Cricetulus griseus: one gene and its partners. The protein of the gene in region 1 interacts with the protein of each later gene in a pairwise test. Links are inferred from orthologs where the notes say so. Each region holds a gene or a part of one and is shown on either strand. Other genes may lie near its edges.

What was found.
Region 2: the proteins of Rundc3a (region 1) and Ccnl2 interact in binary tests that used the Homo sapiens proteins (3 or more experiments, as listed by UniProt). The two-hybrid records come from large-scale screens. The link is inferred for Cricetulus griseus from reciprocal best matches to the Homo sapiens genes RUNDC3A and CCNL2.
Region 3: the proteins of Rundc3a (region 1) and ras-related protein Rap-2a interact in binary tests that used the Homo sapiens proteins (3 or more experiments, as listed by UniProt). The link is inferred for Cricetulus griseus from reciprocal best matches to the Homo sapiens genes RUNDC3A and RAP2A.

The regions. Positions count from the first base shown.
Region 1 is NC_048600.1:115,705,590-115,709,842, forward strand, and holds the start of Rundc3a (RUN domain-containing protein 3A), read right to left. Parts: upstream 3,096-4,253; coding exon 3,016-3,095; intron 1-3,015. UniProt on the Homo sapiens protein: May act as an effector of RAP2A in neuronal cells.
Region 2 is NC_048595.1:468,401-473,004, reverse strand, and holds the start of Ccnl2 (cyclin-L2), read left to right. Parts: upstream 1-1,568; 5' UTR 1,569-1,902; coding exon 1,903-2,184; intron 2,185-2,586; coding exon 2,587-2,661; intron 2,662-2,877; coding exon 2,878-2,987; intron 2,988-4,604. UniProt on the Homo sapiens protein: Involved in pre-mRNA splicing. May induce cell death, possibly by acting on the transcription and RNA processing of apoptosis-related factors.
Region 3 is NW_023276807.1:270,427,697-270,432,082, reverse strand, and holds the start of ras-related protein Rap-2a, read right to left. Parts: upstream 3,037-4,386; 5' UTR 2,991-3,036; coding exon 2,677-2,990; intron 1-2,676. UniProt on the Homo sapiens protein: Small GTP-binding protein which cycles between a GDP-bound inactive and a GTP-bound active form. In its active form interacts with and regulates several effectors including MAP4K4, MINK1 and TNIK.

The sequences.
Region 1 (4,253 bases):
AACAGCCCCCAACATCTCATCACTGCTCTGTTTCTGCAGACAGAGCAGGAGTAGGGTGTCCAGGGATATAGGAAGTACTTAGATCTGTCCTTTTATTCTATCCACATTTACCAAACTGTACAATGTGCCGAGGACTATACGTATCAATCCACCTGTCCTCGTCACAGCCCTGGAAGGTAGGTCCTCTTATGACCACCTTCCCCATATTATAGCTAAGGAAGCTAAAGGCTCCAGAGATGGAGTGATCAGTCAGGTAACTTGGGAGGAGGCAAGCATTTGCCCCATTCTCCATCCTTGGCTCTTTCTGCTTTGCCTTATGGATTTCCAGTGGCTGTTATAATTACCAAGACTTGGCCAGTAAGCTAATTCAGTGGATAAAAACACATGCCACTAATCCCAATGATCCGAGTTCAATCCCAGAACCTCCATGGTGGAAGGAGAGACCCTACTCCCATCAGTAGTTGTCCTCTGGCCTCTGTACTCACACCGTGGCACATGCACACACAAAATAAGCAAACAAAAGTCATCTTTTAAAAAAGTACTAGCCAAGCATGGTGGCACATGCTTTTGGTCCTAGTACTCAGGAGGCAGAGGCAGGAGAATCTCTGTGAGTCCCAGGTTAGCCTCGTTTACATAGTGAATTCCAGGACAGCCATAACTACATAGAGATGCCGTCTAAACAAAACAAAACAAACAAAAAACCCACACATACAAACAAGTACTAAGCTCAGTCCCTAAGAAGCCTCTGCCCTCTATTGTCTGTCTGCTCTAGAAGCCTCAATGGAACACTGGCCATTAAGGCTCCCAAGTCAACAGTACAACAAATCCTCTCTCCACCACCTTGCTTTGGGCTTCTCCAGAGGGCTAAAGCCTAAGGCCAGACAAGTGAGTTTTGGACTGTGCTAGAGAGAAGAAGCAGGCTGCTGGATTCAAAGCCTGTACCTTGGGTGCAAACAGAAATATCAGCACTTGCCTCATTCAACTTTGGTTCAGATCCCAGAAAACGTGGGAGAAGGTGAGAGTGCATGGATTGCTGGGCACAGGCCAGGTGAGGAGTCAAGGCTGGCCCTGCCAGGAGGTAGCCTATGACTGTTATCAGACCATTATTGGTTTTGTTATGAACACTATCAATCTGTGATCATCTGTGTCAGACTTCAATAGAGGCCTGGGGCCTGGTCAGCATGGCAGCCATCTGCCATCTGTCCTTGGGGGAGCTGAAAGCTGGTCAGAGCCTCTGGGAACCCCATGGTGTGGGCCTGGTTAGAAGGAGCATAGCTGCTGTGGGTTACCATGGAGACAGGGAGGCCAGGGCCCAGGGGAGCCTGCAGACTGCTAAAGGGAACTGCTGGGAGCTGTAGGAGAACCACGTGACTGTGATGAGGCAGCAGGGGTCCCTGGGGTTTTGGAGAATTTGTCATGTCCCTAACCCCTCTAAACTATACCTTGTCCCCAACTCTGAGCTATCTCCAAGTCACCCGAACCTCTTTCTCCAGCTTAGGTCAAGTGCCCCGCCCCCCCAATCAAAGCCCCGGTTATCCTGGCAGGCAAGAAAAAGATGTGCGTAGATGGCCAAGGGCCGAGGGACAAGAAGAGTGTCATTGAGTTAGCTGTTTCCGTGTGCCAGGAACCGGCCAGTACCTAACATGGCACACCATGACCCATTCTTTGGTACGTGTGATTTTTACATCTAAGCTGTAAAATCTAAGATAAAGTGCCAAAGGCACAGAGTAGTTAGGAAACTTCCACAAGGTGGTACAGCTAAGGACTGGAGCAAAAGCTTGACCCTAGGTGTGGATCCAAAGGCAGGAAGCTCCTGACACCACACTGACAGGATATGGGGAATAAGGGCAGAGAAGGGAGCTGTGTTCTGGGCTAGGTCATCAATACACCGTTCCTTTCACACATCCCAGGGCTGGTGTGAACAGCACTTTCAAGACACTGGGAAGGGGAGGCTCTGAAACAGAGACAACATGGGTGGGTAAGTGCCCTGGTATCCAAGGAGCTCTGGGTGCCGGAGACTGGGCATCAGGTGGACATGATTCCTGGGGGGAGGAACAGGGCTGAGGCTTATGTGCAGGCAGGTGGGACTGGCAAGGAAGGACAATCAGCCCTGCATCCAGGAGCAATATAATCCAAGCATTTGGTGGACATGGTGGGCATGGAGGCTGCAGGTGGAGAAGGCAGCTGGCGTGGAGATCCCGGAGGGAGAGGCAAGGACAGGTGGGGCTTGGGAGAGAGCCTGCACAGCTGGCAGCTTTCTGGCCTCAGAGCAGGGCAAGGAGGGTGAGTCACTGCAGGGTTGAAGTGGGAAGGATTACTTCCTGGTATCCAAGAAAGCTGAGAATTTCCCCAGCCCTGCAACAGCCCCACCCTCAGAGATTTGGGCATCTGGACTCCCAATCTCCTCTCAGACTCAGGGGCCCAGGCTTCTGCAACCAGGCCTAGGGTAGCGCCCTCGACCTTCACTGGATGGATTCGGGGGCTTTACTGCTGTGCCACAGGCTGCAGCTGCTCAGAAACACCATCCTTGCTTCATGGAGGGTTGAGCATAGAAAAGTCTCTCAGGAAAGCTCCACCCCAAGAGGCCAAGATGTCAGGGATGGCAAAGAGGGGACTTGGAGGACACCCACCCCCAACCCCATCGAGTCCCCTCTGCCCACCCTGCCCCCACTGCCAGGAAGAGAGCCAGCCATCTCCCCCTCCCCCCCTCACACACAATGTCACTTCCTGGTTCTCACAGGAAGCTGCAGTGCCAATTAAACTCTCTTCATGCCCCCAAACCCCAGGCCGGGCATAGGCCTGGTTTAGCCAAAAAAGAATAAGGACCGGCATTCCAGCCCGCCTCCGGGCTGCGGGCCTGGGAAGAAGAGTGAGCGCGTTCCTTCTAAGCCTCGCTGTCCTGCCTTTTGCCAGCGGTTGTAGAGCATCCCCGTGGGCATGTTTAACCCTTAGATTTCTCAGCCCGCCCCAACCCCTCTCTCTAACCACCCCATCCGGACCGCCAGCGGCGCCCACCTGCACACGGTGATCAGGTTCCTGCGCTCCACGATCACGTTGCGGGAAGATGCTTTCTTGGAGGGCAGCCCCAGAGCCATGGTGGTCTGCACAAAGCTCGCTTCCATTCAGATGTGCGGCCACTGCTGCCGACGCCCGCTGCCCCCCACCCCACCCGGAGCCCTGGCCCCCCTCGCAGGATCACGGCTGGGCCCTCTGCCCCCCGGGGCCCTTCGTCCTCTTCACTGCCATCCCTCGGCCTCGACGCCTGGTGCCTGGCCCCTTCGCTCCCTCCCCCGGCAGCGATTCCGGAGCAAAACAAGGCCGGGGAGGGAGCTCTCCGAGGTGCTGAGCCGGGGCTCGCCACCCCCTCCCCCAGCCGCCCGCTCTCCCCCCCATCAACCGGTGACGTCAGGGCCATAGGGCCCCGCCCCCCGGCAGCTCGGGACCAATCCGCCAAGGGCGCAGGGCTTGGGGGGAGGGGAAGGACTGTGGCCCCTGTGAGAGCAGAGGGGGGTCCCCCGGAGAGAAGGACCCTATTCTCCACCCCCACACTCAAGGCTGGGGATCCCTCGCCTGGCGTCTCAGTTTTGAGGCTTCTTTCCCTAGTTTCTAATCTGCAAGCGGTGGTGTCTCTCTCTGGTCTCCCGCTGTAGCCCGAAGAATGGAGACCCTCACCTCCTGCACCATTTTCCGCCCTGCCCCCCACCCCCCATTCCACCCAGGCGCTTCAGCCAGACGTGGGCCGCTTTCAGAGACTGCAGATGGCCTTGAGGTGCTAACCCAGAAACTAAATGCAACCAGAGGCTGCACTGCACGTCTGTCTGTGTGTGCGGGGCGGGGGTGGGGGTGCGTTCCTTTGCAGTAGCCAGCAAGCCAGTCTCTCCGCGGGTGGAGGATGAGAACCCAACGAACCGCCTGAGTCCAGAACGTGAAACCACTCAGGATAGGGATATGGAGTTACCGGCAGTTAGGCACCCAGGACTCCATGGGGGTCCTCAGCAGCAGCCACCCCAATGATCAGTAGATTTAAGAGTTAATCCTTTGGCTGCCTACTTTGCTGCAGCCGGGGAGGGGGGAGGGGAGGTAAAAAATGGTTAGCTTTTAGCTAGGCTGGACTGAAGGCAGTCTGGCTTCTCTGCCACACTTGGCTTCCATGCTGTTTCTTCATATTCCTGATCGCCTGCTCCATCCCTGATAAACCACCTTCAGGATCCGAACATCGCTCGTGTTCAATTGGGTTGCTCCTGTTAATGCGG
Region 2 (4,604 bases), on another chromosome or scaffold:
TTCTGCTTCCTAAGTGCTGGGAATATAGGTATGCAACACCACGCCTAGTTTCTGGGATACAGGGTATTGAACCAGGGCTTCAGGAATGCTAGGCAAGCATTCTATCAACTCAGCTATATTCCCAGTTCCTACAGATCACTTGGTTTGGGGGCTGGAGAGATAGCTCAGTGGTTAAGAGCACTGGCTGCTCTTCCAGAGAACCCTGGTTCAATTCTCAGCACCCACATGGCAGTTCCAGGGTATTCAACACCCTCATACTGGCATGAGTGCAGACAAACACCAGTGCACACCAAGGAAAATGAAATACAATCTATAAAAAAATACTTGGATCTGTCCTCTATTCTGTAACATCACTGTAGGCCAGCTTAATTTTGGCTTCCATTACTAAAGATTCCTACAAGGCCCCTTTGATTTTTTTTTTTCTTTTTTCTTTTGTCATCAGGCTAAACATCACTGCACTGAGTATTTGTGTCTTGTTTGTAATAGTGTCACTTTGCTGTGTGTTCAATACATATTACTCATTAGCTAATGGTTATTGAACAGATGGGGTGGAAGATACAGGCTTTAATTTGTACTTAATAAAGACAAGAGATGTTGCAAACCACTGAGTTGTACACAGCATCCCTATCCAGCCTATGTTTTTCTTCCTGTTGGGTGTTAACATTCATCTACAGTACCAGAGTCTGGTTTGAATAACTAGAGCCAACAATCTCTTCCAATTCTTTGCCCAGGGAATCAGCAAGTAGCCAGGCAGTGACAGCCTTGGACCCTTGTGCCCACCTTGGAGTTGCAGTCTAGATAGAGATGGGTGGACATCAACAATATGACCAACATGGGTGGGTAGAGGACAGGAGATGTGGTCTTGGTAGGATCTGCTTAGGCAATGGAATCAAATCAACTCACTACAGCTGGACTGTGGAGTGCTGACTATTGGCAGCCTTGTTCGAAGCTCAAAATACCCGAATTGGACCTATCTAGGAACATCCTTACCCTCCAGTGTCCCTCCCATTTTCTCCTTTCACCAAAGCTGCAGTTTTGGTGAAAGCTTGAGATAACTCAGCAGTGACAGATAGTTAACTCCATCTACTGCATAGTTTTGGTTGAAACTAGGCAGGTCAGGAATGGAGCCAGGGATAAGTACTGTCTGTAGGGTCAACTCCAAGCCTTTTCCTGTCGACCTTCAAAATCTCTGGCCATTCTTGTTCTGTACACAAGAAATTGAGAGTGATGAAATCTGACAATTGCAGTTCTCTTTAATTTGTGCTTAAAAAAAAATAAAGATCCGTTTACTTATGTATGTGAGTGCTGTTTGCACTGTATGCTTGCATGATAGAAGAGGACATCAGATCCCATTGTAGATGGTTGTGAGCCTCTATGTGGTTGTTGGGAACCGAACTGAGGATCTCTGAAAGGGCAGCCAGTGCTTCTAACCGCTTAGCCATCCTCCAGTTCCTTAACCTGCACTTTTAATGCTGAAAGATCCACCCCACAGCTGTAGCAGAGCCAGAGGACAGCAGGAAGGGTTGAGAACTAAAGACCCTGGACTAAATCGCGCTGTAATGCTGTGCGCGTGAGACTGTGGGGAAGAAGTCACCCTGTCCCTATACCCACGGAAAGACTCCCTTCTAGAGCCGGACTCCGAGGCAGGAGTACTTAACTCTCTTCCGGACTGACCGCTTCCGATTCTGGCCAGGCCGCGGAGCCGAGTGGGTAACGAGCGGCCCCACCCGTGGCCACTTCCGGCGTCAGCGGCTGACGCGATACAGAAGAACAGGTCGTACGGCCAATGGGGTAGAGGCGGCGGTGACGTGTAGCCAATGGGCGGAGGCGGGGCAGGGCGGCCGGGATCGTCTCGAGGAGCCGCCCTCCGGGAAAGCCCCGAGAAAGAATCGGCGGCACAAAATGGCGGCGGCGGCGGCCGGGGCTTCGGTGTTGGCGGCTCCCGCGTTGGCGGCCGGCTCTTCCGGCTCGGGGGGAGCCGCCCCAGGGTCTCAGGGGGTGCTGATCGGTGACAGGCTGTACTCAGGCGTGCTCATCACCTTGGAGAACTGCTTGCTCCCCGACGACAAGCTGCGCTTCACGCCGTCCATGTCGAGCGGTCTCGACATCGACACAGAGACTGGCCTCCGCGTGGTGGGCTGCGAGCTCATCCAGGCAGCCGGCATCCTGCTCCGCCTGCCGCAGGTAAGGGCGCGGCCACGGGCTTTGTAGGTAACCGTCCGCCGGTCGGCCGACAGTGCCAGGCCTTTGTTGTTGGCTTGGCCCACAACCAACCGGGCCTGGACCCGGCCCGCACCTCAGCCTTGACATAATCCTCCCGAGTCCGTGCTTCGAACCCGACCGCTGACCGCCTTGGAGTGGGGCCCGCTCCCGGACTTTCCTTCACCCACCCACCTCAGGCGAAGGTCCTTTATTACAAACCCCGGCACAGCCTCGCAATACAGAAATTCTTTGGGGAAACGGAAACTGTCGTGGGTATTTGTCCTGGGCGCGGGAGGGAGGCGGGGGACGGACTACACAAGACATCTCAGCCGGGACAGGTTTGAGGTCTGCCTTCAAAAGTGATGGAATCTTCTCCGTCCTTAGGTGGCCATGGCTACAGGGCAGGTGTTGTTCCAGCGGTTCTTTTACACCAAGTCCTTCGTGAAACATTCCATGGAGGTAGGCTTCCTTCTGTTTTATCAGACTAATGAATTGGGGGAAACCTGGCTTGTTCTGCCCTACGCTTAGTGAACTGAGTTCTGTCCTCCAAAGTCTGTACAGTTCTCTCCCTGGAGGTCTGTCTCTCTGTACCTTCTGTTTGCTCCTAATAGTTTTTAACGCCCTGGAAAGTCTTCAGGTTGGGGAAAAACATCTGTATCCCAATGTACATTTCAGCATGTGTCCATGGCTTGTGTTCACCTGGCTTCCAAAATAGAAGAGGCTCCAAGACGAATCAGAGATGTCATCAATGTATTCCACCGACTTCGGCATCTAAGAGAGAAAAAGTGAGTCCCTCTTGAGAGCTGTCAAAGGTCTGTCGTTGTTAAACCAACCTATGGGTTTGACAGGAGTTTGTTGACTAGTGCCCTGGATGCTTTCTGCGGGCAGTGATAGGGGAGCACAATAAGCAGAATAGCTGGCTGTTGTAGCCCTGCTGGAACAATTCCTATGTGGCCACATCGGCTCACGGCACTATTGTCCTGTTTTCTCTGTGGTTCTACTTAGAATCGCCACTCCCCAGACCAGTGGTTCTCACTCTCAGCACTGTCACTGTCTGAGCTGGTGATTCTCTGTTAAGGTGGTTGTCCCAGAAATGTATTATATTGACCAGCATTCCTTGCCTCTCCTTGCTAGAAACCGTTTGTATGGAGATATCCCTAGACACTGTCTTTTTTGTTACCTGATCTTGCTATGTAGCTGTCATGGGCCTGAAATGTAGGTCAGGCTGGTCTCAACCTCTAAGAGCCCCATCTCAGTCTCCCCTTATGTTCAGATTACATGAGTGAACACACTCATCTCCCAACACTACTTTCTAAAACACCGATGGAGAGCTGAGCATGGTGGCACACGCATTTAATCCTAGCATTCAGGGAGGTGGAGGCAGGAGGATCTTTTAAGTTTGAAGTCAGCCTGGTCTACAGACCTAGTTGCAAGACAGCCTGGAGTACACAGAGAAAACCTGTTTTGCAAAACTACAACAAACAAAAACAAAAACCAACCCACCCTTGGAGCAGATCTGAAGTAGAGGTCCGAGCTTCATCTTGGTGACTGAGAGGTGGAAGTAGGAAGGTCAGGAGTTCAAGGTCATCCATCCATCCATTCTCAGCAACATAATGAATTTGAAGCCATTCTGGAATACATAAAACCCTATCACAAAAGAACACAAAACATAAGAAGATCCTGTCTCAACAATAGGTAAAACCCAAAAGCAGTAGTGAGGTGGCTCAATAGGGTTAGGGTACTTGTCACCAAGCCTGACAACCTGAATTCAATTCTGGGATCAACATAGTAGGAGAGAATTGACTCCCACAAGTTGCCCTTTGTCCTCCACAGGCATAACCCAAAAACCAAACAAATGAAATACAAATTTTAAAGAATATGCACACAGGGTTGATGAGATGGTTTAATGAATAAAAGAGCCTGCTATCAAGTCTCAGGACAACCAGTTTCCACTTGGTAGAAGTAAAAGGAGGCAACTGACAACATCAGTCCCCTGTACAAAGTTAAAAAGCATGGTCCCTAGTTAAGGACTGTCCCCTAGACCTTAATCCAGACTGCCTGTTCTTTTTCACAGAAGTCCTGTAGTTTTGTTTTGTTCTGCTTTTTTCTCACTAGAGTCTTTCTATGTAACCTTAGTTGGTGGAACTTTATGTAGATTAAGCTGGCCTCTCTCAGTTGGTCTGTCTCTGCTCCCAGAGTGCTTTGGTTAGGGAATGTACCACAAGGGCCAGCTTAACAGAAATCCTTGAAAACACAACCTGATCTCTCTATCTCTATATCTCTATCTCTATCTGCCTTGGGGTCACATCTCAAGATTTGAGCTGTCAGCCACTACTTCAGTACCCTGCCTGCCTGCCTCACTCTGTAGACTAGGCTTGCCTCAAAACTCAGAGATCCACCTG
Region 3 (4,386 bases), on another chromosome or scaffold:
AGAATTGAAAGTATGAGTCCCGGGGAGTAGAACCCTAGTCTACTGTCCTGAGCTGAGGTGCCAACCAATTGCTCTAGTAAACAAATTAGCCGTTATTATAACTGAGAACTGTGAGCTGCACAAAGTCACCAAGAACTACAGCATGGTGTAGATACCCCAGTCAGGATCTCACCATGCTCCTGAGTGACAGGAACTACAGCATGGTGTACACACCCCAGTCAGGCTCTCACCATGCTCCTGAGTGACAGGAACTACAGCATGGTGTACACACCCAGTCAGGATCTCATCATGCTCCTGAGTGACAGGAACTACAGCATGGTGTACACACCCCAGCCAGGATCTCACCATGTTTCTCCTGAGTGACAGGAACTACAGCATGGTGTAGACACCCCAGCCAGGATCTCACCATGATTCTCCTGAGTGACAGGAACTACAGCATGGTGTAGACACCCCAGCCAGGATCTCACCATGTTTCTCCTGAGTGACAGGAACTACAGCATGGTGTAGACACCCCAGCCAGGATCTCACCATGTTTCTCCTGAGTGACAGGAACTACAGCATGGTGTAGACACCCCAGCCAGGATCTCACCATGATTCTCCTGAGTGACAGGAACTATAGCATGTTGTAGACACCCCAGCCAGGATCTCACCATGATTCTCCTGAGTGACAGGAACTACAGCATGGTGTACACACCCCAGTCAGAATCTCACCATGCTCCTGAGTGACAGGAACTACAGCATGGTGTAGGGCACCCCAGCCAGGATCTCACCATGCTCCTGAGTGACAGGAACTACAGCATGGTGTATACACCCCAGTCAGAATCTCACCATGCTCCTGAGTGACAGGAACTACAGCATGGTGTACACACCCCAGCCAGGATCTCACCATGATTCTCCTGAGTGACAGGAATTACAGCATGGTATACACACCCCAGTCAGAATCTCACCATGCTCCTGAGTGACAGGAACTACAGCATGGTGTACACACCCCAGTCAGGCTCTCACCATGTTTCTCCTGAGTGACAGGAACTACAGCATGGTGTACACACCCCAGCCAGGATCTCACCATGTTTCTCCTGAGTGACAGGAACTACAGCATGGTGTACACACCCAGTCAGAATCTCACCATGCTCCTAAGTGACAGGAACTACAGCATGGTGTACACACCCCAGCCAGGATCTCACCATGCTCCTGAGTGACAGGAACTACAGCATGGTGTAGGGCACCCCAGCCAGGATCTCACCATGCTCCTGTGTTTCAGGCCAGACAGCTGGAGCACTTAGATCATTATTTACATCTATAGACAACTTCAAGAAAATGCATTAATGCACCCACATGTGTGAACACAAGCATAGTACCACACATGGAAACAAATGTCTAAAGAGTAAGACTAGAGAAGTTAAAGCTGTAAGAGTCACCAGCTTTGGGAAGAGCTGGCAGAAATATCCACTGTTGTCTAATTTGGAATTGAACACAGGAATGGAATGCAGAAACCTTTAGTATTGGCTATTAACATGCATAGTCAAGTAGCTGGGAGAGGCAGTGAGGACCAGACACGTCCTTTGACTTCAAGTACAAGGTTAAAAACTCACCACTTGTCATGAAGTTTGAGTATTCCCTGAATACAAATAAATTGCTCGGGGCTCTGAAACGAGTACACCCTAACTGACTGATGAATATAATTGTGTCTACTTAAACTTCCAATAGTGACTTCAAATTTGGATACAAATAGAAGAATCCTCAAAGATCATCAGCAGCATTATTTGACAGGGATCAGAAAAGAAAGTTATCAGTTAAGAGCTAGGAAATGTTTGCAAAACTCTGCAAAAACAGGTTAGATTTCCAATATTTAAAAGTTAAGGGGAAAATACAACTTAAGAGAAAACAAACATTGAAAGCATTCAGGCTACCAGCCACATCCAAAATGCATCCCCTCAACAGTTTACATCAGGGAAAGCTTGTTTGCATCACCTACCCCCCCACACACACACACACATTAACTTTAAAGTAGCTGATAGAAAAGCCACCGCTTACACTAAACGTCTGTTTGGTTTCCAAGAATAGCCTCCATGCTTTTTTGAGCGGGGAAAGAGGGTAGATTTTATGAGGGGGAGGGGAGCTTCGTTCTTTCAATGTAAATGTCATGAGCGTGCTTGTATATGCCAACCCTGCTGAAGGTGGTGAGACCTTCAAGTTATTTCACGATGGGTCTTTAAAGTTTGCGCGAATTCATTCCTGCCAACCTCTTGGCAACATCTAACCTTTTCCGCAACGAGAAAGGGCCTCTCAGCTCGTATCGACACTGTCACGGAATACGTATGTGCAAGTTTGGGCTGTCAAGCCCCACACGGGTGGATCTGAGCGCGCGTGCGCTCGCTGGCTCGCTCGCTCGGCACAGGCGCGCCTACACGGGCCTCCCCGGTCCCCCGCGCCCACCTACTCACCCCTTCCCTCCTGGCAAGTTTGAAACTTTGTTTGCCCCGCCAACAGAACAAGCGCTACCGATGCCCTCGAGACAAAGGGACGGCCGAGCTGGGGTTTAGCGGGATTGCCCAATTTTAGTTGTGCAACAAAGCCCGCAAACGGGAGCCCCGGGGAGGAGGAGGAAGAGGAGGAGGAGGTGCAGCCTCGGGCGGGCGAGCGGGCGAGCCCACCGGCCGGGCCCGCTGTGCTCACCGCTTCACGCGGATGATCTGGTCGCGCATGGGCTTGATGTCCTGGAAGCTCTGCTGGTTGACCAGGCTGTAGACGAGGATGAAGCCCTGGCCGTTCTTGATGTACAGGTCCCGCATGGAGGCGAACTGCTCGGTGCCCGCCGTGTCCAGGATCTCCAGCACGGACGGCGACGAGTCCACCTCGATCTCCTTGCGGTAGAAGTCCTCGATGGTGGGGTCGTACTTCTCGATGAACGTGCCGGTCACGAACTGCACCGTCAGGGCGGATTTGCCCACCCCGCCCGAGCCCAGCACCACCACTTTGTACTCGCGCATCGTCCCCGCGCGGCCACCGCCGCCGCCCGCGACATAGACCTGCCCGCCCGCCCGCCGCGCGACCCGCGGCCCGGCCCCGCCGCCCCGGCGGACACGCCGGCTCACGGCCGCGCGCGACAGCGCCCGGAGGCGCCCACGGCGGGGGCGGGCGGCAGCTGGGCGAGCCGCGCGCCCGGGGAGAGGCCCGAGGCGGGCAACACAACAGCGCCGAGGGCGCCGGCAGCAGCGAGGGAGCGCTAGCCCGAGCCGGAGCCGCCCGAGCCGCCGGCCCGCAGTGCCCCCCGCCGCCCCGCCGCGCCCCGCCCGCCGCTCGCGCCTCCACGCCCAGCCCCAGCCCCCCAGCCCCCGCCGCCGCTTCCCCGGCGCTGGAGCGCGCTCCCGAGCCCCAGTCGCCGCGCTGCCGGGGGCGGGGCCGAGGCGAAGCCCCGCCTCTCGCGCCTCGTCCCAGCCCCAGCCGCCACTTCCAGGGAACTGGAGCGCGCGCCCTAGCCTCAGCCGCAGACACAGCGCTGCCGGGGGCGGGGCCAGACGCAGGGGCGGGGCCGAGACGAAGCCCCGCCTCTCGCGCCTCGTCCCAGCCCCAGCCGCCGCTTCCAGGGAATCGGAGCGCGCGCCCGAGCCTCAGCCGCGCCGCTGCCGGGGCGGGGCCAGACGTCAGGGCGTGGCCGAGGCGAAGCCCCACCTCTCGCGCCATCACCTAGCGACAGGCCGCGCGCACGCGCGGCGGCGCAGTCGTCGCGCTGCCAGAAGCAGGGTTCCGCCGTAGACGTCCGGCAACACCCAGCCTCACAGGCACAGCTGCTGGGCGTGCGCATGCGCGCTTCCCCTCTCCCTCCCTCCCCCCCCTCCGCCCTCGGCGGGCCACGTCACACTCCCACGCTCGCAGCTTGCCGGCGAGATGGCGACTAGCGGAGGGAGGGCCCGTGGGGACAGAAAAGGTGCGGGCCGTGCTGGGGGACGCCATGACAGCGCCCAGCCCGTCGGCGTTAGGACACTTTTCGTGTGACGCGTGACGACAGCCTCGAGGCCGCCGTCCCCACTCACACCAGCAAGTCGGCGGCGGCGCCCAGGCCACAGGCAGTCTACGCCCGATGACGTCGAGGTCCCGCCCCCACCCTCTAGCCCCGCCCCCCGAGGTTTGCTCTAAGCCGAGCTCCTCCCACACCCTGACAGCTGGGAAACCTGGAGCGCGCATGCGCAAGCTAGGGGGGGCCTGGGGGGCCCTCGGCAATGTCCACGGGGACTGTTGGCGCGGAAGCTGGATTCACTGCAACCAATCGGGTCACGTGCCTGGACGCGAGCGTACCGCTGTCGGCCAATAGAAAAAGACGTCTCATCTTGTTAACCAATCGGGATGAGACTCGGTCTTAGGCTGGGCCAACGCCCGCCCCGGAGC